7 linked regions of the Mus musculus genome follow. The protein of the gene in region 4 interacts with the protein of the main gene of each other region in a pairwise test. Links are inferred from orthologs where the notes say so. Each region holds a gene or a part of one and is shown on either strand. Other genes may lie near its edges.

Evidence for each region.
Region 1: the proteins of Cby2 (region 4) and Syce1 interact in binary tests that used the Homo sapiens proteins (3 or more experiments, as listed by UniProt). The two-hybrid records come from large-scale screens. The link is inferred for Mus musculus from reciprocal best matches to the Homo sapiens genes CBY2 and SYCE1.
Region 2: the proteins of Cby2 (region 4) and 1700030K09Rik interact in binary tests that used the Homo sapiens proteins (3 or more experiments, as listed by UniProt). The two-hybrid records come from large-scale screens. The link is inferred for Mus musculus from reciprocal best matches to the Homo sapiens genes CBY2 and C19orf44.
Region 3: the proteins of Cby2 (region 4) and Fam161a interact in binary tests that used the Homo sapiens proteins (3 or more experiments, as listed by UniProt). The two-hybrid records come from large-scale screens. The link is inferred for Mus musculus from reciprocal best matches to the Homo sapiens genes CBY2 and FAM161A.
Region 5: the proteins of Cby2 (region 4) and Mmab interact in binary tests that used the Homo sapiens proteins (3 or more experiments, as listed by UniProt). The two-hybrid records come from large-scale screens. The link is inferred for Mus musculus from reciprocal best matches to the Homo sapiens genes CBY2 and MMAB.
Region 6: the proteins of Cby2 (region 4) and Polr1c interact in binary tests that used the Homo sapiens proteins (3 or more experiments, as listed by UniProt). The two-hybrid records come from large-scale screens. The link is inferred for Mus musculus from reciprocal best matches to the Homo sapiens genes CBY2 and POLR1C.
Region 7: the proteins of Cby2 (region 4) and Cnnm3 interact in binary tests that used the Homo sapiens proteins (3 or more experiments, as listed by UniProt). The two-hybrid records come from large-scale screens. The link is inferred for Mus musculus from reciprocal best matches to the Homo sapiens genes CBY2 and CNNM3.

What each region holds. Positions count from the first base shown.
Region 1 is NC_000073.6:140,777,848-140,781,404, forward strand, and holds part of Syce1 (synaptonemal complex central element protein 1), read right to left. Parts: intron 3,088-3,557; coding exon 3,028-3,087; intron 2,685-3,027; coding exon 2,610-2,684; intron 2,084-2,609; coding exon 2,036-2,083; intron 1,802-2,035; coding exon 1,747-1,801; intron 1,580-1,746; coding exon 1,490-1,579; intron 1,282-1,489; coding exon 1,218-1,281; intron 730-1,217; coding exon 663-729; intron 586-662; coding exon 462-585; intron 399-461; coding exon 288-398; intron 152-287; coding exon 70-151; intron 1-69. UniProt on the Homo sapiens protein: Major component of the transverse central element of synaptonemal complexes (SCS), formed between homologous chromosomes during meiotic prophase. Requires SYCP1 in order to be incorporated into the central element.
Region 2 is NC_000074.6:72,442,378-72,446,689, forward strand, and holds the start of 1700030K09Rik (uncharacterized protein C19orf44 homolog), read left to right. Parts: upstream 1-1,502; 5' UTR 1,503-1,612; intron 1,613-1,625; exon of another isoform or gene 1,626-1,767; coding exon of another isoform or gene 1,768-1,853; intron 1,854-2,372; coding exon of another isoform or gene 2,373-2,373; coding exon 2,374-3,093; intron 3,094-4,312. Other genes in the region: Calr3 (calreticulin-3 isoform 1 precursor), read right to left, coding at 1,018-1,119, 1,216-1,306.
Region 3 is NC_000077.6:23,006,868-23,011,146, reverse strand, and holds the start of Fam161a (protein FAM161A), read right to left. Parts: upstream 2,801-4,279; 5' UTR 2,707-2,800; coding exon of another isoform or gene 2,521-2,706; exon of another isoform or gene 2,516-2,520; intron 1-2,515. UniProt on the Homo sapiens protein: Involved in ciliogenesis.
Region 4 is NC_000080.6:75,589,140-75,593,494, forward strand, and holds the start of Cby2 (protein chibby homolog 2), read right to left. Parts: upstream 2,847-4,355; 5' UTR 2,824-2,846; coding exon 2,776-2,823; intron 2,091-2,775; exon of another isoform or gene 2,001-2,090; intron 1,847-2,000; exon of another isoform or gene 1,653-1,846; intron 1-1,652.
Region 5 is NC_000071.6:114,434,005-114,437,561, forward strand, and holds part of Mmab (corrinoid adenosyltransferase isoform 1 precursor), read right to left. Parts: intron 3,119-3,557; coding exon 3,046-3,118; intron 2,804-3,045; coding exon 2,706-2,803; intron 2,540-2,705; coding exon 2,475-2,539; intron 1,334-2,474; coding exon 1,274-1,333; intron 1-1,273. UniProt on the Homo sapiens protein: Converts cob(I)alamin to adenosylcobalamin (adenosylcob(III)alamin), a coenzyme for methylmalonyl-CoA mutase, therefore participates in the final step of the vitamin B12 conversion.
Region 6 is NC_000083.6:46,245,225-46,249,564, reverse strand, and holds the start of Polr1c (DNA-directed RNA polymerases I and III subunit RPAC1), read left to right. Parts: upstream 1-1,519; 5' UTR 1,520-1,601; coding exon 1,602-1,670; intron 1,671-1,764; coding exon 1,765-1,836; intron 1,837-3,350; coding exon 3,351-3,458; intron 3,459-3,816; coding exon 3,817-3,949; intron 3,950-4,340. Other genes in the region: protein YIPF3, read right to left, coding at 280-386, 527-724, 1,237-1,317. UniProt on the Homo sapiens protein: DNA-dependent RNA polymerase catalyzes the transcription of DNA into RNA using the four ribonucleoside triphosphates as substrates.
Region 7 is NC_000067.6:36,510,713-36,514,706, reverse strand, and holds the start of Cnnm3 (metal transporter CNNM3 isoform 1 precursor), read right to left. Parts: upstream 2,841-3,994; 5' UTR 2,797-2,840; coding exon 1,554-2,796; intron 1-1,553. UniProt on the Homo sapiens protein: Probable metal transporter.

The sequences.
Region 1 (3,557 bases), on a different chromosome or scaffold from region 4:
ATGCCCTTTCCACAGACTATACTCTGGAGAATACCACTTTTTTCCTTTCCCTTCTGTTCCCGGATTTACCATCCTCCATGAGCTGTCTTCTTCGTTTTGCGTACTATGAGCAAGGATCTGTACCCCATGCTTTTCCAGTTCTTCCTTCAGCCTGTCCGGGAAGCGTGAAGGACGAGAATGAAAGCAGAAAAATCAAGAAAATATGAAGAGACATACCGGCAGAACAGGGGAAACAGCTGCCATTCACCTTCCTGGGAGAAATGAGGACACAGGAGCTCCGTGCCTACCTCTGCCGTTTCTGCTGTAGCTGGTGGCACCTCTGCTGCAGCTGCTCGTGCTGCTGAGCTGCAGCCTCTAGGAACTCCTCAGCTTTCTTGTTCTCATCCTTGAACATCTGCCTGATAGTGTGGAAAGAAGTCAGTGCTAGACATTTCCTCCTCCTGCCCCACCCTGCATCTTACATTGCTGCAGCTGCCTCATGGCTTCGGAGGAAGAGTCCCTCAATGAGGCTGGAAGAACCCTCAGGCCCGCCCAGGGCACACAGCCGCTGTCTCACATCCTCCAGCTTTACTTTCATCAGTTTCTCTACAGAGAGAAAGAGTAATAAGAAGGTAAGGGCAGGTTGGTGCAGCTGAGAGCCACCCTTCTGGCCCTGACCTCACCTTCCTTGAGCAGCTGCTCCTTGCTGCTGTCCAAAACACACATCTCCTTTGTCAGATGTTCAGGCTTCTGGGGTGGGGGGGCACAAACAAGAAGATATGTCCAGATCTCCTGGCTCCCCTGAGCTTCAGAGAAGCCTGTCTACATCTCATCATTTCTCCTCTCAGTAAGTTTCACTTCCGAGGACCCTGCCCCTTGGTGTGTGCCAGCTATGGTTTATGGATCTCGTCATTCCCTCTCCTCGGACCTTTAACCCTGTAATGAGGTTCTAGGGCAAGTATTCGAAACCCTAAAATCTGCAATCCTACAATCCTGAGACACTCTGAAGACTTAGGTATTAGCGTTTCTTCCTCTCTTCTCTCCTCCTGGCCTCCTCACTGACATAGAGAACACTGAATGGACACAGCAACATGAGTGAATGGTAAGGACCAATACTGAAGACACCAAGTATCTCAAGAGTGGTCACCAGGGACTGGATTTACGATGACAGCAGGACCACCAACCAATGCTTGCACAGGGACAAAGTATAATAGGTAGCATAGTGTTGTATGACTCACATGAAATTCCAAGGTGTCCTTATGTTGACTCATCAAAGTCTCCAGATGTTCTTCAAAATCCAACCTAGGAGGCAACCACAGAGCCATGATGGCCATGAACTACCACAGAGCTAGGCCAAGGTCTGAGTCTATATAGCACCCAAGGACTTCGTGTCCACTCTTACACAAGGAATAGCTTCACCCCTTGACCATCCAGGACTATGGCTGGCCATCCCGGGCATTACTATACCTATATCACGTCCCCAGCCCAAGCCTCACACCTTGAGGTTTACCTCAGTTTTCTTAGTTTGGCCTTCTCTTTGTCGATCTGGGAGTTCAGGAAAGAAATTCTCTCTTTACACTCCTGCAACATGCTGTGCTTCCTGGGAAAGAAACCAACACTCAGCCATGTTCTTTGAATGACTCTCCTGGAGGGAGGGCTGGGGGCTTCTATTCTGTTCCTCTGTATTCAAGCCTGTGTCTAGCAGAGCAGATGGTGTGGGAGGTAACAGGAACACTTAGGGAAACCACTGCAGGCATGGCATCTTACCTCTGTGCCTCACTTTCCTTCTCCTGGCAGTGCAGCTGCATAATCCTCAGGGTCTCTGTAAGGATAACAACAGTGCCCTCTGAGTGCTTGCTAAGGCATCTAATTTGGCAAATAGAAAAAAACATATCACATCAAGTCTGTGGACACTTGATTGGATTTTGACATTTTCTGGGTCTGGTAAAAGCCATAGGAATGTCACAAGGTTGGGAGTTCTTAAGTTTCTAGCTACTAGAGAGAGTGGGCTTAGATAGGGTATCACAAAGCCTAGAAATGGGTAATATGGGAATACCTTCCTTTCTGTTCAAAATATCCTTCAGACGTACTTTCTCTTCACGTACTAGAAAAGATGATGAAGGTTCAGGCATTAGAGACCAAACACAGAAACGTCAAGGGCAGTCATACGAGAGGCAAGTATAACTGTGACCCTAACCCAGATGCAGTTTCCTTGAGGTAAGTTCCTACCCCTACGGGTATCCACATTCCTGTAAACACAATGTGCCCTAATTTTCACAAAAGATATCCATGTCCATGTACAACAACCACTGGGACCAGGAAAAACAACACCAATCAAAAGGGCTATGTGATCAGGTAATGCAAGATGACTAAGAAAGACATTTCTAATAATATACAGCTGCTGGTGTGAGGCAATAACTTGTATTATCTAGGGCAATACATGGAGGATCATCTCTGCAAAGGACTCAGGGCAGAACAGGCCTCAAAGGCATTTCCACAGCCCTCCTGTTAGAAGATGGGACTGCTAGAAGAAATGAGGTTGGAGGAGAAGTCATGGCCCGGGTGTTTGCAGGACTGCATTAGAAGTCTAAGACATCATAGAAACCTCTAGTGACTCTCAGTTAACTTACGTAAGTCCAGTTCCTTCTGCAGGTTGTCCCAGACAGTCTGGGCCTCTCCAAGCTCCTCACTGGCTTTCTTTTTTGCTTTACCAAAGAGGAGGACAGACATTTGGTAAGTACAGCCTCAAGGACAAATGAGGAGATTTCACACTCTCCCCCCAAAGAAAACTTAGAGGGGGCCCAGATTTTACAAAGCAGGAAACAAGGCTTTCTAAATCCTGGCCCTTCTTGCTAGGCTCGGGTGGCAGCAGGGCTGTGTTCACAGGCAAATGACTATGGCGGTTACAGGCAGAAGGGCCCTGCACTTATGCTCTCATGAAATAACTACAGAGACTTTAACAAGGACCCCTGTATTTCCACTTTTTATTGGGCCTGGCCAGTTAAAACTTGTAGCTGGTCCTGGATGGCAGCCAATCACTGAGCTCACCTTGCTGAACCTCATTAATACGGTTAATCAGGACCTCAATCCGGGGCTCTAGGCTTCCCACTGCAAAGCAAAAAGGAAGCTCATTATTGATAGAGTGTGTCTAACCTGGGATTCTACAGCTTTTACTTTACAGAAATCTCCTAAGCATCTCACGTGTACAGGTGCTACATTACGGTCTCAATCTAGGATTGTGGGGACAAGGAACAGACCGATAGAGATACTGAGCCAAGCTGTAGGAACTTCAGTCAAGAGAAATGAAGCAAGGGGAGAGGTCCATAGGCAAAGGTCAAAAAGTGCTTCTCAGATATGGGAAAGTGTCTTGGGGGGCTTCCATCAAGGAAGGCAGGCCCTCAGGCTCTCTGGGTAAAGCAGTGGGTGCCCTGAGGAGGAAATGAGAAGGAAACAGGATACATATGATCAAGTAGAAGGTGGCAGGATGTAAAGTGGAAGAGGTTATGGGTAAAACCTCTGGATCTAACAGACTGCTGTGAAGTCAAAGGAGACCTGGGACGGTGCTTTGGGAAGACATA
Region 2 (4,312 bases), on a different chromosome or scaffold from region 4:
GTTGGTGTATGCTTTTAATCCCAGCATTCAAGAGGCAGAGGAAGGGGCAGGTGGATTTAAGAGTTTCTAGACATTCAGAGATACATAGAGACCCTGGCTCAAAACAAACAAAACTAAAAACCTAAAGAAAATACAATTTAATTATTTATTTATTCGTTCATTTTGTGGGGTTGGGGCATGTGCCAAGGTTAGAGAACAACTTGTGGGCATAGGTTCTCTCCTTCCACCCTGTAGGTTCTGGGGATCAAACTCAGGTTACCAAGCTTGGCCACAGGCCAATCTAGCTGGCCCCACTTTTCATTTTGATTTCCCCTCTTTTTGTTTTGTGCCAAGACCTGGCTGTATCTTAGGGTGGGCCAGAGCTCACTCTATAGCTAGGCTGGTCTTGAACTTGTGATTTTCCTGCCTCATGAAGACCCTGGAGTGCTAGGATTCTAGGTTGTGCTACAGCATGGTTCCAATTTTCATGAAGTGAGATGATCTTGGGCAACTACTGAAAAATGCCAACACAGTCATTCCTGTTGACTCCAGTTGTCATTCCAGCACTTTCTGAGCACCTCCACTGTCATTCCAATCCACACTCAAGGTGCATACTGCCTCCAACATACATAGATGTGGAAAAAGTAACCAGCACTTGGGAGGCTGAGAGTTAGAGCCATCTAGGGCTACATGAGACTGCTCAAAGACTAAACCAAAACACACTTCGGTCAATTTTTTTTTTTTTTTCTTTTTCCAAGACAGGGTTTCTGTGTAGCCCTGGCTGTCCTGTAACTCACTCTGTAGACCAGGCTGGCTTCGAACTCAGAAATCCACCTGCTTCTGCCTCCTGAGTGCTGGGATTAAAGGCGTACGCCACCACCGCCCGGCTACTCTGGTCAATCGTAAAGGAATGTAAACCCAAACAGGGTATTGCAGAGCCTGCATGTGCCTCAGTGTCCTGGCTTGAACGGTGGGTGCGTTGTCAGGGTGCCATGAGGTTTCTAACTCTACTCTATTTGCTCCCGATTCTACACTAACCTTTGTCTTTCTCTTTATGCCCATAGAACTTCCCCGATGAGACTCTGAAGTGCCCAAACTGGGAGTCATTGGTGGACTGCACCCAGCGGTTCCTCCAGCGCTCTGTGGGGAGACAGGAGGGTTAGTGGTGCAAAGCGCACGGGTCCATATCATAGATGGTGGACACAGGCCACCAGCCACCACGGCAATCGCCTTCACCTCCGTCTAGAAACTCCTCCTGGAAGTACACAGTGGCTAGTGCCACGCGCAGCACACAGATGGCCCAGAGCAATGCACGAGCCGAGACCATAGCTGCACGTGCGACTTCAACTCTCTGCTCTCAGGCGTCCGTACCGCTTGACGGGCGCAACTCAGAAACTACAACTCCCGGCATGCCTTGGGATTATGACCTGGGGACGCTAATGGGTGCGCTGAAATTACTGGTCCCGTGACGCCCGGGATTGTGACCTGAGTTGCTCATTGGTGGGTGGAGCGCGGTGGCCGACGGGAAATGTAGTCTCTAGTTGCTCTGGCGCTGTCTCCTGAGGCAACCGCACACTGGGGCCTATACTTTGAGGCTGAAGCCTAGCGGGAAGAAGCCAACGCAGCTACTCAGGTGACCTCACAGTGATCAAGTGGGTTGGCAAGGGGCTTCAGGAAAACGGGCGGCATACCCACACCAGAGGTTCCTCATCTGGAGAGCGATGGGGCATGATCCCTTAGGGCTTGCAAACAATAGCGAGGAAACTGAGTATAGGCAGTGTTATTAGCATGGAGAAGAACTCCAGGTGCTGTGTGATATGGGTCCTCTCAGTTGTGTATCCTGGTTACAGGTTCCAGAGCAGGTACAGATATAGGTACGAATCTGGACGCCTGTCCTCAAATCTCTCTGAGATTCTTTGGTTTTTTTTTTTTTTTTTTTTTTTTAGATTTATTTATTTATTATATGTAAGTACACTGTAGCTGTCTTTCAGACACTCCAGAAGAGGGCATCAGATTTCGTTATGGATGGTTGTGAGCCACCATGTGGTTGCTGGGATTTGAACTCGGGACCTTCAGAAGAGCAGTCGGCGCTCTTAACCACTGAGCCATCTCACCAGCCCCGATTCTTTGGTTTTGAGCTCACTCAACCTTACCAGTTCTTATGCCTGTCCCACACGCCCTACAGCTTATTAAAAGAAATACTTTTATCTGGGTGGTGGTGGCATACACCTTTGATCACAGCACTTGGGAGGCAGGCCTGATCTAAGGAGCTCCCAGGAAAACCAGAGCTATACAGGGAAACCTTATCTTGAAAAAAATAAAAACAAAACAAAAAGTATACTTATACAGTGAAGTACTTTTAAAGGCTGAAAACACAATCTTTATTTTCCTAGAATGGCTTCCACAAGAAGACCCTTTGGCCCTCCACGTAGTGGTTTTGACTTAAGGGATATGTTCTTAGATAGCTCGAGGATGGAAGAGATCAGAAACTTACAAGCCCGAAGTCTTGGCCAAGTGACACCTGGGCAGAGCAGAATCTTAAAGAGAAACCAAACGATGGACGAGAAATATTTGATGCCCAAAGAGGAGGCCATGGCAGGGAGGGGGGTGAGTCTGGGCTTGAGGCCTCCCACCATCTCCTCCAAGACCAGAGCCAGTGAGGCCCTTAGGAAACTGGCCCAGATTGAAACCAAGATCCTGAATCGGAAGCAGGTGCCCATGGCTTGGTCTGATGTGGAGTCTGACTCCACATCCATCGAGCAGAGTCTTCCTAAGAGGACAGGTGCAGCTTCTGTTTCTTCCCAGTACCCACACAGAACTTTCCAGAAACAAGTGAACAAAACATGTGTGTCAAAGAGCGATGGGCCGAGTGGTAACGGTAGCAGGTTTCTGAAGAAGAAGGAGCTGCCCACTGAAGCGAGGTCCCCAGGGCTGGCAGTGGGGACAGGGAAGCAAGCTCTGCTGCCCACAAAGAAAGAATCTGCCAGTGACGAGGAGGAGGAAATGCTACTGCTTAGAAGCTTGATGGAATCTTCTAGAGAAAAAGAAGCAAATAGAAACCAGGAGCTCCCTGGCTCCAGTGTCAGCAGGAGCAACCTTGGAAAGGTGTTCTTGGTAACGTATTCTTTTGTTGGTTTCAAATTTTACTTTTTTTGGGGGGGTGGGGGGCAGGTTCTGGTAACAGAGCCTAGGGCTTGCTTTGTACCAAACAGCTCCTTAGCTAGTGAGCTATACCTCAGACCCCCCCCCCCCGTACATATGTCTCTGTGTGTATACCCCACATATGCACACCTGCCTGCAAATATAGAAGAGGGCATCGATCCCCTGGAGCTAGAGTTAGAGGGGTTGTGAGACACCTGGTAATGGGTGCTGGGAACTAAAGTCAGGTCCCTTTCGGGAAAGAGCAGCAAATGCTTTGTCTTGTTAGTTTAATTTGAGGTCTCAATTGAAGGACTGCTCACATTAGAGGAACTGTCTTGATTGTTTATTGATTGTGAACTGGTGATGCCTTGTGGGCTTGGGTTGTGTGAGAAGCTGACTTGAGTGCGAGCCTGTGGGAACAAGCTGCTGTTGTGTGACACCATTGCCAGGGAGATGTGAAGAGATATCTCCTTGCCTCACATAGGGAACCAGTGACAAACGAAAGCACAACAAGCTAAGAACAAATTGGAGAACCAATCAGTTTATTGGGATTACTTACAGGAGTAAAAATGGCTAACGCCGGGCGTGGTGGCGCACGCCTTTAATCCCAGCACTCGGGAGGCAGAGGCAGGAGGATTTCTGAGTTCGAGGCCAGCCTGGTCTACAAAGTGAGTTCCAGGACAGCCAGAGCTAGACAGAGAAACCCTGTCTCGAAAAACCAAAAAAAAAAAAAAAAAAAAAAAAAAAAAAAAAAAAAAAAAAAAAAAAAAAAAAATGGCTGAAAGACACTGATGGTCGGAGCCTACCCAGCACTGGTGACAGCTTGTGGTCATAAATACAAATTCAGGGCAGCACTTTGGCCATTTGGCCCTATCATTTACCAGAGCCACAGCTCTCCTTTTCTCCTAGCTTGTTGTATGTAGTTTTAGTAACACGAATGCTCTTTCTCAAGAGGTCAGTCCGAGCTCCCTCAACCTCTTGCAGATCGCTCCACCAAGCCACCAAAGGCTCCCCCAGCTGTGCCTGTTTTCTGCCCACCTTAGTTGCCATGGATGGAAAACACCAGACAGCCTTAATATTTTAAAACTAGCCAGATAATGGCTGGGTGAAGAATATCCTGCCCCATCCTCCCTGGCCTTCACTCACCGCGGAGGCTACAGACTATAGGTACTATGAGACGTACATGCCTGCC
Region 3 (4,279 bases), on a different chromosome or scaffold from region 4:
TGTGTGAGAGAGAGAATGTGTGTGTGTGTGAGAGAGAGAGAATGTGTGTGTGAGAGAGAGAATGTGTATGTGTGTGTGTGTGTGTGTGCGAGAGAGAGAGAGAGAGAGAGAGAGAGAGAGAATGTGTGTGTGTGTGTGTACACCAGAGGTCAGTGACAGGCTTTTTGTCCCCTCAGTGACACAGATACAGACCAGATTAGACCAGATTAGAAGTAGATAAAGGCAGGTTTATTAGGAGGCTGCTCTCAGGTGGGCTCACTGATCTCACAGGTGTGAGAGATCCAGGCCAAAGCAAGGGGATCTTGTAGAGTTTAGGTTGGGAGTGCTGCCATGCTAGCTAGGAGCTGGGATTGTGTCCATGCATGGTCAAAAACTGAGCCCCCAAATGGGCACTCTTGGGCAGGCTGTCTGAAACTCAGAGACAAGGAGCGCTGACATGTTAGCTTGAGTATTCTCCAAGCAGACAGTGGAGATTTCTTTAGGTGGGTGGGGTTGGCAGGAGGGCAGATGTAGTTCCCCAGCTTGTGCAGGGGATAAGCAGGGGTTCCAGGCTAACATCCAATCTTAGCTGAATTCCCTAGCCACTGTCCACTTTATTTTTTGAGGTAGGGCTTTCAGCAAATTCCAGGAATCTGCCTGTTTCTTCTCTCTCCAGCACTGGGATTATAGACAAAAGCCAACACACTGGGTTTGTATTTGGGTGTTGGAAACCCAAACTCAGTTTATAACAAAAATCTTCAGTTAGCAGGGCACTCTGGAACATAAGTACAACTATACAAAGGACAGACCTTTCTGCCGTAGTAAGCCAAAGTATAAATCAATTTCCAAGTGAATTGTTCAAGCTGGCAGTTGTTACAATTACTACTAATTTATGTAAATTACTCTAGAAATGACACCCATTCTCTCCTTTGGTTCTTAATAACAACTGAATAAGGTGGAAAACGGAGACAATTATAGTCCTTTTATAGACAAAGAAACAGAAATCACGGCCTAAGATCACCCAGCACATAGAAGAAAACGGCTTCTGACCCGGGTCCAAGCTCTTGCCTTCCCTGGCATTTCACCTTCTGTAACCTATGACAGGCTGTGTTGAATGATTATCAGGTATAAACCAGTCCTAGGGTTCTGAACCTCATAGCTGGTTAGGCTCTGCTTCACTCTACATAACCTTGAAACATTTGCTACAGGCCAGGCCTGGGGCCCCATACGCTTAATCCCATTACTTGGAAGGTGGAGGCAGGAGGATCAGGAGTTTAAGGTCATCCTTAGCCACAAATAGCAAATTTGAGGCAATCCTGGACCAAAGGAGTCACTGTCTAAAATAAAACAAAAAAGCCGAGGATGTAGCTGTTGGTACACCACTTGCCTAGCAAGCACAAACCCTTCGGCCCACCCCAGCACTGCTAAGGAACAGGGTGTCGAGGGAGCGAGTGCCCGTCCTGGTGCTTTATCCCAGCAGAGTGCTGGTTTAAGTCCAAGGTTCCCGGCTTTTAAAGTGAATAAAAGCTGGGCGTTTTTATTACACACCTTTAAACTCAGGAAGCAGAGGTAGGCAGAGCTCTGTGTGTTTGAGGCCAGCCTGGACTACACAGAGTGAGTTCCAGAACAGCCAGGCTATGTCTCAGAAAACAAACAAAAATTTAAAAGGATGCTAAGATGTTTTAACTGTTAAGAGCACTTGCTGCTCTTGCAGGGGACCTGGGCTTGATTCCCAGCATCCATATGGTAGCTCACAACTCTCAGTAACTCCCAAGGCACACATTCATACACATAAATCTAAAAACAAACACACAAAATGAATAGAACAGATGAAGGAGAGGGGGTGGTTACATTCAAAATATACTGTATGAAATTTTTAAAGAATAAAAGCATTGCTGGAGAGATGGCTTAGTGGTTATAAGTACTGGTTGCTTTTCCAGAGGTAGAGATTATGTGTGTGTGTGTATAATCTCCTCCTCCATATATATCCTTCTGCTAGAAACATATAACACATCCAGGACATAATACTGAAAATGTTTTGTGAAAAGATCTCACTGCACCCATATCATCCCTTTAGGGAACTGGGATTTCGGCGGTTTGTTTATCTGGATGCTTCTCTACATCTGGAGCATCTGTCCACTGAACTTCAAACACGGTTTGCTAATGGACTGCTAAAATCCACTCCTAACAAAAACTGATAAAACACACTTGTCAGTACAACTTATCATCTGAAAGTTGATCTTTTATGAAAACTATGGGCACATCAGTTGTCTTCGGGGGGGGGGGGGGCAAAAATAAATGTAAAAATCAGAACTAAAAAATTATTTATTCCCAAGATATACTGGAGAATAAATAGGAAGTAGAGTTCTGTTCTTTGCATACTCTAGAAATAGCTATAAAAAAACCACTCTCCAATAAAGTTTTGCAGCAACCTTTAGTTGGGGCAGAGAGCAGGGAGGGTCTACAGAGGACACCGCATTTCCACCCGTCCTGCCCGAGACGATCGGACAGCCCTCAGACCCCTCCGGGCTCTCACATTACCGACGCCCGCATCTGCCACACTTTCTTCTGTTCCTCCTCCTCCATGGCCGCCGCCAACCCCGCTGCTACCAAGGACTCTAAGGAGTCTTCGCTTTCGTACTGGGCGACCCTTGCTCCGGTGATGGGATTTGCAGACAGGAGAAGGCTGGCTGCCGCCAGTCTGGCCTCCTGGTGCGGCGAAGCCATCGCCCCGCCTCCAAGCCCAAGCGCCCGCGCCCGCCCAGGGCGGCGTGCAGGCGCTGCCACCTAGCTCACAGATCCTGGCTTGGGGCGAGCGGTTACTAGGGGCTCGGTTACTAGGGACGCTACAGGAGGTGGCGACGGACCATAACGCACGCAACGTCCTTTTTCACTGTCACAAATGCGAACCCCGAGTCCAGCTAGTGTCTAATGATGGTTTCTGATACAAGCCTGCGGTTTCTAGAAGCATAACTGTCTGAAGCTACACAAACGACTACCACAGCAAGCTAAAGTAAAACGCAATCTTCAAGCTAATTGCTCAATGGGAGTCTCACCAGCGCCGGAACAATTACTGATTCACTTGAATGACACCCAGGTCTCCGGCAAGGGACTGAGCTTTTCTCTGGTTTCTAGCTTTATTTCTGTCTAACTACCTAAACGAGAACTTCTCGCGGTATACGGACTTAAAGCAGAAAGCGCGTTTTAACTAGCTGGATCAACATATTAGGGCACAGAGGGACAGGAAGGACCGGGTGTTGGGTGACCATCCCAAGAAAAGAACAGGCTTTGCAGCGCGCTATTCAACATGGCGGAGAACCCAGTTCATCTCTAATTGACAAGAACCAGCGGGTTGACCAATCAGAAGGAGAATACTTATTTGTCCCACCCTCTTTTTTCTCGACTGACCAGTAAGACACTAGACATAGGAAGTGTCTGTCACTCAGACCAGTGAGTGAGATGTGGTAGCTTGTCTAGCGGTTCTGCAGCTAGCTTAGCGGCAGATTAGAGGGGGCGAGAGCCTACAAGGACCACACCCTCCCAGCTCAGCCCTGCCAACCTCCTGATCGGCCTCAGGTTTTTGGCCACTTTGGATGCTTTTTCAGTGAACTCTCAGCCACCTGCAGCATAACACTTTACTTAGAACCCCAGCTAGCGCCCCTGTCCCCACCCTAAGGTTCCAGTACTTTCCACGTTATGCGGCACACCTTCCACAGAACCTGTTTCTGACGCAGTTGTTACCACCCCTTCCTTGTTCCCCTCTGCGAAGCACCTATCACCTTACCTTCCCTGCCTCCTGTTTCAAAACGGTTGAGCTTGCCTTTTCCAACGGAACTGATGATGGATACTGGTTGGTTCTGAAAAGCTAGATGTGGGGAGGGATCCATAGCCATCTGAATGAGAGAATAGTGACTTTCTGCCAGCCACATGCAACTAGTTCTGTGATGGGACTTGGTGTAAACAAGACCTATTGACAGACTGAAGCCCTGTAAGTGGGATGGTTTTAGGAACATGAAATAGTAAATAATGGATATGAAGGACATCAGTGTGTACATAGAATAGGAAAGTTTCGGCTGACAGTATTCTAAATTTGCAGATATCTATTAACACAGCTTTTAAAAAAAAGGTAGATCTGAAAGAAAATGGCACCATTAAAGTGCTTTTGCAGGCCAGCCAGTGGTGGCGTATGCCTTTAATCTTAGCACTTGGGAGGCAGAGGCCGAGGCCAGCGGATTTCTGACTTGGAGGTCTACAGAGTGAGTTCCAAGACAGCCAGGGCTGTCTTGAAAAACAACAAAAA
Region 4 (4,355 bases):
CCCAGAAGAGATGTGCGCATGCTCCCAGAAAGTCCAAGCTGGTTGACCAAGCTTTTAAAGCACCTGCTTTGCCAACACTATTGAGGGTTGACTGGAAGGGAATGTTCAGCCAGCTGAGGTACTTTTAATGCACATGAAACTGAAGGGCACCGGGGTCCTAGACGGAGAAACCACAGTGCTAACTTCACAGCTGAGTTCCACTGTCAATTAAAAAATAAACAAATAACTCACCTCTCTAGTGGTATGCTTAAATACAATGTTTGTTTTAATAAATGCTAACAGATGAAAAGATAATCCACAAGGTAAATGTGATTGGTTTTGATAGGATTTTAATGCCAATAGCAAAGAGACTAAAAAATGTCAGATGAAGTCAACTCATCGTTTGATAGAAGCTAAAATCTTGCCCTTGCACTATTCCCGTTGGCATTGACAAAAGGGAAGGAGGAAAAAGGCAAGGGGAAATAGAGTGGGCACCAGGAAGTATTATCAGAGGTCATTGTGACCAAGATGTAGATCTTTCATTGATGACCTAGCAATAATGATGACTTAATGAAACTCACAGATTGCTCACAGGGGAGAGAGTCTCTATAGAGGAGGAGCTGGGAGAGGAGTTGGGAGATCAGTTTCTCAGACAGGAAATAACACTGTCATTTGCAAGTCGGTGTGCTAGAGGAAAATAGATGTGAAAACACTCGTGTTCAGTGTGAGGAGGGAAAAAGTGGGGAATCAATAAGATCCGAGAAAACCTAAGGGTGACAACTAGTGAATCATAACGTTTACGGTGTAATTGAGAATGCCAGCCACCCACCAGGGCTGGAAGCTGGGAGCCAGAGGTACTGTTATAATTCTCTTCCAAATAGAATGAGCTCAACTCAGAACGAAGCCTCATGGGGCGCAAAGCTTGAGGGTTAGCAATCCAGGGGAGGGAAGGGGAGACACTATCTTCTAGAAGCAAGAGAACAATTAGAGCTAAGACATCACCTGACCCCAGTAAACAGGATGATAGGCTGGGCACTGACCTGGATTAAATTGAAGTTCTGTCCTCACTATAGAACCTCCCAATTCCCACAGCTGTGAAATCTCTGCCTTACACTTGTGTGGCCCTGTGGCCACCACATGATGCCAAGAGCACTCCATCAATATCCTCCCTCACCTTGTTGCTCATAGGAGTCCTCCCCCCTCACCCCCCCCAACTATCTTGTTTGGGAAGGTAGAGTGAGCAGAGAGGTCTTCCTCACAGGCCTGGGAGGTAAGTCAGGTTACATCATCTAGTTATCCATGACTACTTCCTAACCCAGGAGGACCAGTCGAGAGTATCCTGGCAGGTTGCCTGGCTTGTGTCCCCATTGCAGGTGGGCCTGTAACCATCCTGGTGGTCATGAATATATTCCAAAAATGATACTTATGTCTTTCCTTCTATCTATCAGATTATTGAAACAATAGATCCCAAGATATTTCTCCAATAGTCTTATGTTTGGAGAAGGTAAAGGCTGAAGGCCAATGCCATCAAGAGCGAGGGGAAGATTGTCTCTCAGAAAAGGATTTCACACAGCCCTTATAACTTGTCAGACCATGCTGCAGGAGAGCCTGCGGCTGAGATAGTGATGCTGGGCTGGACCACACCCCAACCAAGGCTACTTTGTGATGAGTACCTCTGGCCCTCTATTGAAACCCAAACTTCATGTCCAAGACGGACCTGGGGAACGAATCATTAGACCTCTTTGTTCCTCCTTCAAGTGTTGCAGCACTGAGTAAATCTCTTCCTGCTTTTCAACATCAGTCGACTGCTTAGTTGGACCTATTGAAGACTGTTGACTACACCTGGCTGGCATCCTCAAGGCCACATCTGGTCATGAGAAACAAATCTCCAGTCAGCAGTGACCCCTTCATCCCACATCTTTTACCATCCAAAATCCAAGAAGCTGCACCAGGTCCTAAAGCCCAGGAAGTGGGGCTGGAGGTCAGAGGGACCAGAACCAACCCAAGTCTCCTCAAATCACCTTTCTCCTCCACTGCTAAGCTGATTCTGAGAGCTGGGGATGGAAATCTGTGCCAAGGGTAGATGGATGGAGCTTTCTAATCTTTCCACCCTATGACAATAATGAGAACTTTGTGTCAGCTTCATTGGATTAAGAAACACCTAGGGCATTAACAACACATACCCTCGTATAGATCTGTGTGGACTTTATCAAAAGGGGGTGGGAGTGGGGCAGATCCTGGACTGAATAAAACAAGTTGATCTGCCATGATGTGAGGCACTGGCCCCACCATAGATTCCCATTCATCATAGACTCATCCCCTGAACCAAGGGCCAAAATAATCATTCCTTCTCTTAACTTACTTCTTGCCGGGTATGTGGCCACACAGGGAGATTACAACTACTTTCAGATCCTATTCCCAACCTCTTCCCCACTCCCACATCTAGGCTATCATCTCCCATCTGCCCCTAATATCTGGGCTGGTAAAGAACCAGAAGAACCATACCCATTCTCACACACAGTTTTACATATTAAGAATCAGACCTAGCAAGGTCCTTTGTTCTTCCAGAAGATGGTCAGAACATAGTTCCCTAGTATTCTGGCTCAGCTTTCCTGAGCTAAAGGAGACAGGAAAGTGGCTGCTCACTGTGTGCTGTAAGGAAAACATGTATCCAGGCTGTTTTCCTTGCCTGACTATGTTTGCTGAGCTTGTTACAGTTACACTCATACAGAACTCCAATGAGAGAACCACCCTCTTTTGTACACACCTCCCTGGATAAAATTTTAGATAAGTTACCTGTGCCTTGGGTCCCTCCATCCTACATTTCACCCCCTCTGGCTGCATGACCCTGGTCTTCCAGTGAGCTCTTTGGGGGGGGGGGGCTCTGGAGAAAGCAAGGCCACCCCTTTGTGACATAGCAGCAGAAGAAACAGTCAAATCAACAAAGGCATCCCACCAAAGAAATTGTTGCATGCAAGCTGCAAGGGGTTTAACCACTCACTGGTCTCTAAAAGAACAACTGAATGTCCATCCCTTAGTACCTATCTTCAGTCCATAGCAGGGCTTAATTCCTTAGGCAGCTGTAAATGGGACACGTGCTGGGGTGTCAGCTCTTCAAGATTTCAATTCTAGTTCAAGCTCAACTCTAGATCTCCACAGATATCCAGAGTAGTTATACACCAGCACATAATGAAGGGTCTCCTTTGATAAAGTTAGAGTTTTTCTTACAGTATCATCAAACCTTGAAAGCCTAGCACTGAAGGGGGGGTGGATTGATCATCTAACCCAGCCTACCTCATTGAAAGCCAGAGGCTCCTAAGGTCCAGAGAGACCATGTATCCTTCCTCCACACAACCAGGGAAAACCCAACGTGACAAGAACTGGATCAGCTGACTTCCTTGTTCACTCTATAAGGTCTGGAAACAGGGTTATTGTAGCTAGAACTGGTAAGTTACATCCTTCTGTGACTGTCCCTACCTGAGGTAGAATCACATTGACTGGAATTTCTAGGCTCTCAGATCTGGTATCTCTCTTTCTTGTAAAATTTGGCCTCGAGTGCTGTGAAAAAGAAAAAAAAATAGATTTCTCCTTCTCCACCCAGCCTCGGAGCCTCAGTGGCTCACCTAAAATACATAACTACTACACTTATGCCTCCTTACAAATTAATTATATACCTTATAATAATCTCCATGTAAAGGTGTGTGTGAATGGTACCTGACCAGAAAGAAATCTTACTGATCACCGAAACAGAAGTCAATAGAGGAATTAACTAACATAAAAACCCCACTTAAAGTCTCTGAAACAGAGAGGGCTGCAGGTCTTCCTGGCTTTAAACTATTATTTCTATGTCAAGAAAGTAGCCATACCAATGTGAGATGCCAGGTATAGGTCTTATGCAAAAGCTGGTCACCAAAACACTCAGAACATTCCAGAGGTGACATCACAGAACAATATGGTGGTTTTCAGAGCTCATGGTTTTTCTCTAAGCAGCTCAGGTGAGAAGCAGTCTTCTGTAAGCAGGAAGGATTGGTTGCTGCTGGCTGTGCCCACGTGGCTAGCCAGAGTCAGTGTGACACACAATGGCCCCAACAGTCACACTTATTTGGTCACCCCCTGGCTGCTGCTCACGCCTCACTGCCAGGCTGGTTTGAACCCCGACCCTGACCCCCACCCCTACCCCTACCCCTCCCACCCCAGCCTCCCTCCAGAGCTGTCATCTACTTCAACTGCATTACTTGGGAAGGGAGAAACAGTAACTTTTCAGACCTGGGGAGGGTTTGGCTGCTACTGTGGGGCTCTTCAGTTCAGTTCCACTCTGACACTAGCTACATGGCATTACTGTGCAGGTCCCAGAAGTTAGGGGTTCAGCCCTGTAG
Region 5 (3,557 bases), on a different chromosome or scaffold from region 4:
ACCAATCCAGGAGAGCCGCATCAGCCCAGAAGCCTGCAGGTCAACCCGGCTCCAGACTCTGCTACATTTCAAATAAAGAGGCCTTAGGTGGGTCGTGACCTTGGAACTATCAACATTCTGGCTCAGTCTTCTTGGCTGGGGCTCTCCTGTGCATGGAGGATGGTCAATGGTGTCTTTGGTGTCTACATACTAAGTATCAGTGGTACCCAGCACCCACTATGACGACCCAAACTGTCTCTAGATGTTGCTGGTGTCCCACTTGAGCATCAGTGGTCTTTAGTACTCTCATGAGAGAGTCTACTAGCTTTTTGTCAGGCCCAGCAGTGATGGGCTCGGGGTGGGAGGCCTTCTGCAGGAAAAGGGACAGCCTAGGAGACAACGCCACACCTGTCCCAGGTGTTCTCGAGGCTCTGACCTCCTGGAGGCTCAAAGCAAGCCTTTGTCACTTCTCCACACCCTCCTGCTTGCCCGGCACCCTGTGCCCAGCCCCCTTCCACCTGGTGCCCTAACTCTCGGAGCTGATTACTGGGCTCCCAGTCAAGATTCTGTCCTGGCATTGTCCTTCTGAGCCATGTGTTCCTGGGGCAACCACGTGCTGCTTTCTTGGTGACTCCCTGGAACCTGCAGAGGGGGCACGACCCACCCTGACCCGCACAACACTGTAGAGTCAGCGGGTATCCTCAGGGTTGCCTCTTCTGAGTTTAAAAGGAGCCATTTCTCTCTTGACCTGGGTGACATTCCACCCAGAAGGAAGGATTCTATGAAGATCCAAGGTAGTCTATATTCTGGGATGGGGAGGTAACCCAGGACACACATAACCCCACAGCTAGGTGTTGTGAGGTCACTTCCTGTCTTGCTAGGCAGCTCCTGGGGCGCAGCCTGGTCTGCACTAACACCATCTGAGCCAGGATGCAGTAGAGACCAGAAGCATGGCTGTGGGGCAGCAGAGAGCAGGGCAATGCACTCCTGGAGTAGTAACCTTGCTCAGAGCACTGAGCTCAACCTGGCTATGGGCCGTCTGAGCACCTCAGGAAGAGACGCTGGCTGGACGGACTTCGCTCTACCAACATCAAGGCCCCTGGGAGCAGTCTCCATGAGCAGACCTTAAGATCGCCTGACCCTTGTTTAGGTGTGCCTGCGCTGGCTCTTATTTCCTAAACAGAGCCTGACTTCAGAGTGGGACAGGGCCACTGGGGACACAGCACAGTCCAATATACATGATGAAGGGAGGGGCCTGGTGGTCAGACAGACCCGCCACACTCCACTTAAGCACCTGTTTAAGAACTTCGCCACGTTTGCATCCGTCTCTCCCATCTGGACAAGAGGCACCACACTGTGAAGAGAAAACGCACAGTCAGGTTACAGAGCAAGGCTCCACACATAGGAGCCTGGGACATGTATTGCCACCACTTGACTTCACTATTCAACCGAGTCCTGGCAAGCACAAACCAGACACAGCGTACCCACCACTGCCTCAGCCAGCCCCTTAGCTTGGGGACACGCAACGTGGCCTGGCCAGTGAAGGGGGACGCACAGCAGGCAAGGTGAGGGTAGGCTGCCCAGTCTGCTGGCCTTTGTGCCACCAAAGCCTGGCCCGGGCTCCTTTGTGGGCAGGGCTCGAAGAAGGGCTTTCGTCTAGCCCTTAATCCCCAAGGAGCTACTTGTTCTAAGTTGTAATTCTAATTACCCGAGGTCCCGCACCTGACTGCGCACATACAATTTGTCCCATCCCACCTCCTGATCCCAGCTGATCCTCCCCTGAGCTAGCCTGGGGGTGTGTGTTGGGTTTGGCCATCGGCCCAGGAAGGCTTGCGTCTCTAGTCCTGCTCGCCCCACACCTCCCACTTGGCTTCTTCACCTAGATGTCCTCCTGCCTGGAGAGCTTTCTGGCATGTCACTATGCAGCCGGGGCCTGTCAGCTGCACTGAAGGTGCGACACCAGCTCAGACTCGTGCTCTGATGGTATAAGCCCGGTTGATGCGGGTGACTTTATGCAAATGGCCATTTTCTCTGGAGGCCCAAGCATTTTGGTTTTGGTTTGATTTGTTTTGTTGTTTGTCACCCAGGAAATGCTGGGAAATGTCCAGGTTCAGCAGTCTTCTGTGAAGGGAAAAGGCTTGCGATCTGAGTCTGCGGACCCCCAGAATCTCACTGGCCTGCTCCTGACCCCTGCAGACTGGAGGTGCTGTGAGGAACCCCTGAGATGTGGACAGAGTTTCTCTGGTGTCCCCCAACCGCTGGGCTCCCTGTAGTCCTTTCTGCTGGTTTCTAGCAGGGTCCTTTCATGGTGTTCTCCTCAGCCCCACATCCTAGGGAGCCTATGGCTCTCAGAGCAGAAAAAAGCTCTGCTTGGCCTCTGAGCAGTGTGAGTCACTCATTACAGTGCCCTCCAGGACAGTACTCAGGACACGTACAATGAAGAGGCGGTGGCTCAGATACGACAAGGGTTCTGCATTGTCCTCTGGGGCCCTTACCGTCTCTCGGCACGACGGCATACAGCGCGGCAGAAGTGCAGGGCAGAGCTGCTCTTGCCTCCAGACTGAAAGAGAGAGTGGGTGTTGGCCACTGTTGCTCTATGCTGGAATACCTCTGAGCGGCCGGGGTGCAGGGGGTGACTCTGTTGCTACAGTTGGGTCTACTGGCAAGCCCGTGTTTCCATCAAAGCAACTACCCCGCCACACCAAGTTGAGCACCCCAATACCTACAGGCAGAATGAAGGCCTTGAGCGGGGGGAGCTGGCTGGAGTACTTGTCAATCCACCGCTCCAGCTCCAGGACAGGCCCTTCCTGGAAGGCCGTGTGCTCTAAGGAGTCAAGGGCAGAGAGGCCCTACTGTAAGCATGCCACCAGACCACTGGGAAACACCCCTTCCTTCTGTGTGGGAGCCCTGCTTCCACCAGCCTCCAGGATAACATCTCTCCCAAGGCAGAGAGCAAGGATGTCTGCCCTACCAGAGAGCTCTAGGGCCCAGGGCTCCCAGTGGGCAACTCTCAGGGCCACCCTCACCCCAAGGCCCCACTAACTCCCTGTGCAGGCTGGGAATTACTTAAGTGAGCCTCCCTGGCTGAGGAACGTGGAGTGGCCAGGGCGGAGCCGACGTCCTGTAGCATGCACTGGATCTGGAGCAAGGGTGAGGAGAAAGACCGTTTGTGGACCGTGTCGGGGCCGTTGGACCATGAATCCAACTGCCCTAACTCTAAACACGACGAAACCTCCTGGAGTTTAATTCACTGGACCAAACATACCAGTGCCGCCTAAATGGTGAAGGATAGCCCATGGGACGGTGGTCAGCGGGACAGGAGGACTCAGGGAGGACACCTGTCCATTCCTGGGACCCACGTAGGCCCCAACCAGACTACAGTGAAGCTTGGGTGACCTCGGCCTCCCACTGCATCCTAGAGTGACTCTGCTAGCAGATGCCCCTCAGAACTCAATGGCAGCGCTAACAGGTAGAGGTCCACCTTGCTGAGACTCGAAGGCAGCAGGGCTCCTGAGCACACAGCTCTTCAGCCTGAGCCCTGGGTTGTCCTCTGCAACCCAAGAGGCTGTCCCATGCGA
Region 6 (4,340 bases), on a different chromosome or scaffold from region 4:
ACTGTCTAGGAGTCCAGGTGAGGGAGGGACGAGAACAAAGTGAGTGCCTGCCATTTAAAGGATGGTGGTGTGGAGGGAAGCGGGGTAGGAGGGAAGAGGGGTTAGCGCACTTGAGGGGTACCTAGCCAACTGTACCTTTCACCAAGTATTCACAACATGTTCAGTTCAGTAATGGGGTTGCAAGTAGGGGAGTCCACCAGAGCTCAGGGCTCTGAGTCTGAGTGAAGTCTGGATGAGGGTCTAGATGTGAGGACAGATGTCTCAGAGAAGGCGCCTCACCTGCTTCGGACCTGGGCAGGCTCCACATCAAAGTAGGGTCTGAGGATGTCAATGTTGGCATACAAGCTGAAGGCCCTGGAAGCCTGTCTCTTCCCTGCCTGCCACATCTGAAGGGAAATGGGTATGATGAGACTCTTGGCTCTAGATTGTTATTCAGTCTCGGCGAGATTTACGTGTGGGTCTAAGTGGAAAACCTCGATCAATTTAGGACATGCATAGGTCCTTTTTTTTTTCCCCATTGGCTTACCTGATCTGCTACCTGCCGGCTCAGTTGTCCTTTAAAGCCTTTCATGCCAAGAAACTCCCCATCCTCTTCTTCTGCAGCAGCTGCATCAGCATCTACTTCTTCCTCCCGCAGGCGCTGGTGCAGCTCACCCATGTCCTCGAAGCTGGAGCCTGAGGTATCGTCCATGTTCTCCATATCAATCACAGCCGAACCCCCACCCTGTGAAGACAACGGCTCGGAGAGTGAGGGGCCCTTCCATTGCATCCTCCCCGTTCTCCGCTCAGCTGACAACTTGAGGCTTTGATCTTCCACTGCCGAGGACATGGCTTGGAACTGCCACTCTTTCAGTGGTGGCAACTCTTGGTCGCGTCACTTTTGTGGTCCTGGAAACCCTACTATTTATTTTCAATCCACGTTGTTTTCCTACTTTCCACCTCAAAGCTCCAAAGAGTTGCAAAAGAGCCCATCTGCCATTCCCAATTCTCAAACAAGCCTATTTTTAGGGGGTGCCAGTGGATCCTAGCCTCCAGCCCCCACAGAGAGCCGAGGCCCGCGGGAGCCCTAGTTTGTCCCTTTCACGCCAGCACAAGAGCTACACCCTTCCCCGGGAAGACTCAAAGGGGACAGGCTGCGTTTCAGCGGAGCCGACCTCTAGGCCCCGCGAGAGAGAACAGCAGCCACCGTCCGGACGCCGCCAGCCCGGGGCTGCTGGCAGCAGGCGCGCTCCATACCTGGATGTTTTCTTCGAAGCCTCCCCATTCCGGGCCAGCACCATTTCGGACGCCGCTGGCCGGCGCCGCCGGAGTCGCCATGTCCCTCGAGGCTTCCCGTCGCTGGAGCACGCGCGCGTGGGAAGAGCGTGCGACCCGGGTCCGAGGGAGGGAGAGGTTCAGAGGGGCGACCGCCCGGGCAAGGTGGGGATCCGCCGGGACGCCGAAGGGAGAAACCCGGATGTTTGGCCCCACTTGACGTCCGGAAGTGAAGGACGTGGACAGAGGCGGGGCAAGATCTCGCGACATTCAAGATTGCGGGAGCCCGAGCGTTGCTGCGGAGACGCAGGCGCGGACTCGCCTCCTTTTACAGCGAGTGGCGGAAGATGGCGGCGGCTCAGGCGGTGGAGGAGATGCGGACTCGCGTGGTTCTCGGAGAGTTTGGGGTTCGCAATGTAAGAGATCGGGGCGCGGGAAGGATGAGGGCGGCACGGGGAAGTAGAGGCCTGGTGTGAAGGCTGGCCACACTGCCCTTTCTGTTGGCTCTAGGTCCACACCACGGACTTTCCCGGTAACTACGCCGGTTATGATGATGCCTGGGACCAGAACCGCTTCGAGAAGGTGGGTAGAGCTGAAGGTGCCCAGTCGGCCCGAGGGGCCAGACCTCGCAGGTTGGGGTGGGGGTCGCTGTTTCCATACAACACGCTTGAGCTCCATGGACGGGTCAGACACGGTGGTTGCTCTCGGTGGGATAATGGACCACACAGACAAGTTATTCCAGAATAGTAAGATAGCGGTGAAGATGGCTGGGATATGGTCAGGAATCATTGATGCACTGAATCCAGCTAACTGAAGGGACGTAGTTAAAGGTCAGTGAAGGGAATGGCATTTGAATTAAGCTTTGAACTATGAATAAAAGTTGAGTAGTGAAGGCCTGATTGGAGCTTCATTATATATGATTTTTTTAAAATTCACTTTGAAACTGTTTCTGTTTAGCCCTGGCACTCTCTCTATAGTCCAGGCTGGACTTGAACTCAGCCATCTACCTGCTTCTGTCTCTGCCTCCCATGCACTGGGATTAAAGGCATGAGCCACCACGCCCAATTTAGAATTTTTGAGTAGACTGATAACATTTTGCAATCTTGATAGCCAGGAGGGAATGAATTCTGGTGAATCTGCCAGCTAGTGTATGCAGGCTGAAATTGGGGGCATAGATGAACTCCAGACAGTACTAACGGAGTAAGGCAGGGAGAACTAGACGATTTGCACCAGTGCTCTGGGGAGGCAGTGTGTGAGAGAAAGGACTTTGTAACTTGAGGACCCTAAAACTTTCTTGATATGCGTGTTTGCCTGCATGTGTATTTGTGCACCACTGTGTGTTAGTGATCCCTGCAGTGTGAGGAGAATGTTAGGTCCCACCAGGTGCTGGGAACCAAACCCAGTTCTTCTGCAAGGGCAGTTAAGTGCTCTTAATAGCTGAGCCATTTCTCCAGTGGCACTGGGGAACTGTTGCTGGCTGTGTCGTTTGCCAAGCAGGAGAACAAGAATGAGGGTACACTCAGGTGCCTGCTTGTGAAGTCTATGTGCTTGCTTGAGCCAGGAGCATGGTGGAGGTCAGCCAGGGGATTAGAACCTAGGAGACAGGAACGTTTACTGTGTGGGTGGAAGGGGAAATTTAGAAAGAAGAGCAGATAAGGAAATTGGTGTTCAAAATCCAAGGGAATGTAGTTGAGAAAAGTAGGTATTAAAAAATAACGACAACAGACATGCAAGTATCAAACGGTCTAAGTAGTGTGGGAAGTTCTGCTTTTTGTATAGTAACTTCTCTGGGTGGTTTGTGGAAAATCTGGGAAGATTGGGCATAGTGGCGCACACCTTTAATCCCAGTACTTGGTAGGCAGAGGTAGGTGGATCTTTTGAGTTTGAGGCCAGCCTGGTCTACAGAGTTCCAGGACAGCCAGGACTACATGGAGAAACCTGGCCTTGGAAAAACCTAAAAAACAAGAAACACACAGCCTTGCCCCCAAGAACAGGACTGGAGACAAAATGTCTACTGAGCACCATGACTTTAGGGTGAGGGGATAGTGCAGGGTAGGAGCCAGGCAGGAGTCATGCAGGAGCTTCCCTCCTTCTAGAATTTCCGTGTGGACGTGGTGCAAATGGATGAAGACACGCTGGAGTTCGACATGGTGGGGATTGATGCTGCCATCGCCAATGCTTTCCGGAGAATCCTGTTAGCTGAGGTATTAGAGGACGTGGGCTGGAGGGTAGAAATTGTATCAATTTGTAGACGCTTTTCTCAAAGCCATCCCTCTGGGGCAGGTAGGGTGGTTCACACCTATGACAGTCTGGGCTACATAGTAAACATTGTATCAAGAATCTGAGCCACACGCCTTTAGTCCCAGCACCCCAGCACTCGGGAGGCAGAGGCAGGTGGATCTCTGAGTTCCAGGCCAGCCAGGGCTATACAGAGAAACCCTGTCTCAAAAAACCAAAAAAAAAAAAAAGAATCTGAAGGGCAAAATGAAAAAGTGCTGCCTCTTCCTTTTCCAGGCAGGGGGATGGGTGGAGGTCAGTTGTCTGCTTTGCCTCCTTGGGCAGGTGCCGACAATGGCCGTGGAGAAGGTCTTGGTGTATAACAACACGTCCATAGTCCAGGATGAGATCCTTGCTCACCGCCTGGGGCTCATCCCCATCCTCGCTGATCCTCGTCTCTTTGAATATCGGAACCAAGGTGAGGCTGAGAGCTTGGGATTATGAGTTAGGCAGAACTGACCTGGAATGCATGGGCTCAGGTCCCAGGCCTACTGCTGGGGCTTTAGTTGGCATCTTGTACATCTGCCTTCGCCTGGGAGAACAGCTGTCCCCACCCCACCTCTAGTCTCACTGTGTACACCCTCGGAACACAGCGCTAGCAGCACTCAGGCTCTCTCCACCTTTACATTCTTCCTGGGGATTGAACTTGGGTCTTCAGGTTGGAGCAAGCATGCACCCTCACTCTGTGAGCCTTCTTGTCAGCCTGGTATTAGAGTTGATATGGCCAGGCACGGTGGTGGACAGCTTTACTCCAAGCACTGGCAGAGGCAGGCAGATGTGTCCTGAGTTCAAGGCCAGCCTGGTCTGCA
Region 7 (3,994 bases), on a different chromosome or scaffold from region 4:
GAGGAGCATGGAGTGTTATAGAGGAGCCTATACCTTGTTTTTGTTTCAAGACTGTGTAGCCCTGGGTGTTCGTGCACTCAGACATCCGCCTGCTTCTGCTTTCCTAAGTGCTGGGACTGAATGTATGTGCCACCTGTCCCCTAGGGGTCCACATTTAAATATGTGGAGCGGCTCATAGTTTTTACTTTCAACTTTAGATGTTCACATGTATTTGCTCTTGCAGAAGACCTGGGTTTTGTTGCCAGCACCCATACGGTGCCTCACAACCATTTGTAACTCCAGTTCTGGGGGATCCGAAGCCCTCTTCTGACTGTCTCAGGCACCAGACACACACACCGTGTACATAAACACATGCAGGCAAAACACTCACACACAGAAAATAAGTACATCTTAAAAAACAAAAAAGGGCTGATCGCCAGGCCGTGGTGGCGCCGCCTTTAATCCCAGCACTCGGGAGGCAGAGGCAGGCAGATTTCTGAGTTTGAGGCCAGCCTGGTCTACAGAGTGAGGTCCTGGACAGCCAGGGCTACACAGAGAAACACTGTTTCAAACAAACAAACAAAACAAAACAAACAAACAAAACAAAAAAATAGGGGTTGCTCAAAAAGAATGAAAGGAGACATTAAGGTAAAAAAGGGGAGAATGGAGATGGGGTTAGGGAAGAGCAGGTAGCTGACATGCACTGAAAAACAATTTAAATGAAAGAGAGGAAGCAAGAGCACCAGAGGATGCAGGGTTCAGTTCCCAGGACCAGCAGGGTGGCTGGCTGTAATTCCAGTCTCAAGGAACCTAGCGCCTTCTTCTGGCTTCCATAGGCACTGCATGCATGAGGAACAACACAGGCACTCATAAACATAACAATAAAAATCTCAAAAAAAAAAAAAATTAAGAGGGAGAAAAAAGCCAGGAAGGAAAATTAAGTCATTATTCATGAGTTGCTTCCGATGACATTAAAATGGAAGTTCTCTCAGTACCCACAGTAAGTATTATGAGTCCTTTCTAATCCCACAATCTGAAAGGGCCAGGAACCATTACAGGTCCAGCTAATTTAATGCTAAAAAGGCAAAGACAACAGTTTCCAGTTACCTAACCCTCTTGACATCATTTTAGTTACTATCCAAGAATCTGGGGCAACTAGGAAGCCCAAGTGCACAATACAGCCCAGGAGAAGGAAACCTCTGGGATTAGAGCCAAGTAGGCATGCTTGCTGCCTGCCAATGGATCTTTTTATTCATTCATTTACTTTTGAGACAGAATCTTTAGTCCAGGCCGGCTTCCATCCTTCTAAGTAGGTAGGCCACTGCTTGGGTTTATGTGGTACTGGGTAATGGTCAGGGCTTCATGTATGTTAGGCAAGCACTGAGCTACATCCCCAACTTTTTTAAAATTTTCTATTTAACAAACAGGGTAACCACCTTCCGATCCTCCCGCATCAGACTCCCATAGCACTTCCTTCCGCTTCTAAAAGGTGGGTCTTTAAATATTTCCAAAGGTCATTCGCAGGTACAAGGCCATCACTTTCTGGGGCCTTTCTAACAGGGGCGTCCCCTTACCTCGCTTGAACTCCTCCAGGACAGCGTCCAGTTTGGTATCGTTGAAGACAAAGTGGAGTGGATGGTTGTAGAAGCGGGTGATGGTGCTGAGCGGTGTGCAGTCCTCGGGCTCAACGATAGCCAAGTCTTTGAGGTAGAGCATGTCCACGATGTTGGAGCGCTCCTCCTCGTACACTGGGATGCGCGTGTGGCCGCTCTGCATGATGCTGGCGAGGACGCTGAAGTCTAGGACAGTGCCGGAGTCCAGCATAAAGCAGTCTTCGAGCGGCGTGAGCACGTCCTCCACGGTCCGGGAGCGCAGCACTCCCTTGCTGAGGTCGCTGTAGGGGTCGCCGCCGCCGCGCGCCAGCTCCAGCACGCGCTCCCGCAGACGCCCCGGCCGCGCTGCCAGCTCCAGCAGCTGCCCGACCGGCAGCGCCACGGGCAAGGTGAGCAGCACCGCCAGGCGGCTGAGGCCCAACGCGCGCGGCGCCAGCGCCAGCGCCCAGCGTCCGCTCACGGCGGCCGGCAGCACCTCACCCACCAGGAACACCAGCCCCGCGCAACCCAGCACGGCGGGCACGGCGCGCTGGCCCGCCGCCCCGTACAGCAGCACGGCCAGTGCCGCCTGCGCCAGGCTGGCCAGAAGCAGCAGCGCGCCCAGGGCGCAGCCGGCCCAGCGCCGCGCGGGTTCCAGGCGCCGCGCCGCCGCGCGCTCCGCCTCCGAGCCGCTCTCGCGCAGCACCTGCACCTCGGCCGGCGCCAGCGCCAGCGCGCTCAGCTGCAGGCCGCGCGCCACCGCCGCCAGGGCCAGCAGCCCGGCCGCCCCCAGCCCCAGCGCCCAGGGCGGCGCCGCCTCCTCCGCGGCCCCACCACCCGGCTCCACGCGCACCGCCAGCAGCGCGGAGCGCGGGTGGCCGGCCTCGGCGCGCAGGCGCAGCAGCGCGCGCCACTCGCCCGTCGGGGCGGCCGCCTCCTCGGGCTCCGTGGCCCGTCCGCCCTCCGGGCAGCCTGCGCCCTCGGCGGCTACCCAGGTCCAGGAGCTGTTGGCCAAGCCGGAGCAGAAGAGTCGCAAGCACAAAGTGGCCTCTGGCGCTGCCCTTCCGCGCAGGGAGCCCGCGCCCGGTGCGCTGTCCTCTTCCGTGCAGAAGTTCAGCAGTCCCGCGCCCGGCGCCGGCGCCGCCTCCCCTGCGGTGCTGCCCAGACAGAACGCGGCAAGCACCCAGCCCAACCAACCCACCACAGCCGCAGCAGCCGCCGCCATGGCCTGCTACCCCTTCTGGGCCTCGGGCGCAGCCTACCCCACTCACCCGCGCCTCTGTTGTTGCAGCCAATCGGCGCGGGCCTCCGCGTCACTTTGACCAATAAGCGGCTGGCGGGGGCGGGCTCTGGGGAGAACTAGGCTGCGCCGGGGAGTAAACAAGCGGCGCGGGGCGGGGCGAGCCGGAGGGGCGTGGGGCTCCGCAGGCAAGGGAGGACGCGGGGCGGCTGTCTGGGACGGCCTCGGAGTTCCCGGCGCGTGTGGACGAGCAAAGGAAGGTCATTAACCCTCTGGCCAGCAAGGCTAAGGGCTGAATAAGAACCAGGGACTGGGCACAGGGAAACCTGGAGTCGTTTGTTTAAAACATTTTCTTATCATTTGTATTTGTATGTGGGTTTGCGCTTGCGAGGGCAGTGCTTTGGGCAGACGCAAGAGGGCGTCGAATTCCCCCTGGAGCTGGAGTTCCAAGCTAATGGGAAGCTGTGCTGGGAACTGAACTCTGGTCCTCAGCACACATTCTTAACCTCACCCAGCTCTATTGGTTTGTTTTAAAGCTAAAGTCTCTTAGCTTTGCGTTGGGCTCTGTGGATATCAAGACAGACACCTGCTTTTGAGGAAGATGCCTTGATAGGAAGGTCCATAGTAAATACTCAAACCCAGAAAAATCTGTTTCCTTGAATCTTCACACTTGTTTCATGTAATTAAGCTTACAATAAAACGATGTTTAGAGACTGATTCTGTGTGCCTTTGGTTTCTGACATGCACCTGACATTCGGGTCATTCAGCCATGCAGGGAGATAGCAGCTGTCAGGAATTTCCATACATGCTAGCTTCACAACCACAGTTTATTCTGATTCCTCGGGTTGAGAAAGCTGTTTGAGAGGGTTCTTTTTGTCCTTATTTTGGAAGACACCTGCATGATCAGATGGAGCATTCTTCGTTCATTGTATGTGGTCTTTATGGGATTAGCTTCTCTATGGGTATCCCTGTTTTTTGCATTTTTCTCTCTACTTTCTCCCTAAATGTACTAAGACATGTACACATCTTATACATATGTTTTGTTTTGTTTTGTGTCTGTGTGGGCCCAAGTGTATGTATGTGTGTTGTGTATGCAGGTGCCGAAGGAGGCTAGAAGAGGGCACTACATCCCCTGGAACTAGAGTTGACATTTGTGAGCCACCATGTTGGTTCTGGGAACCAG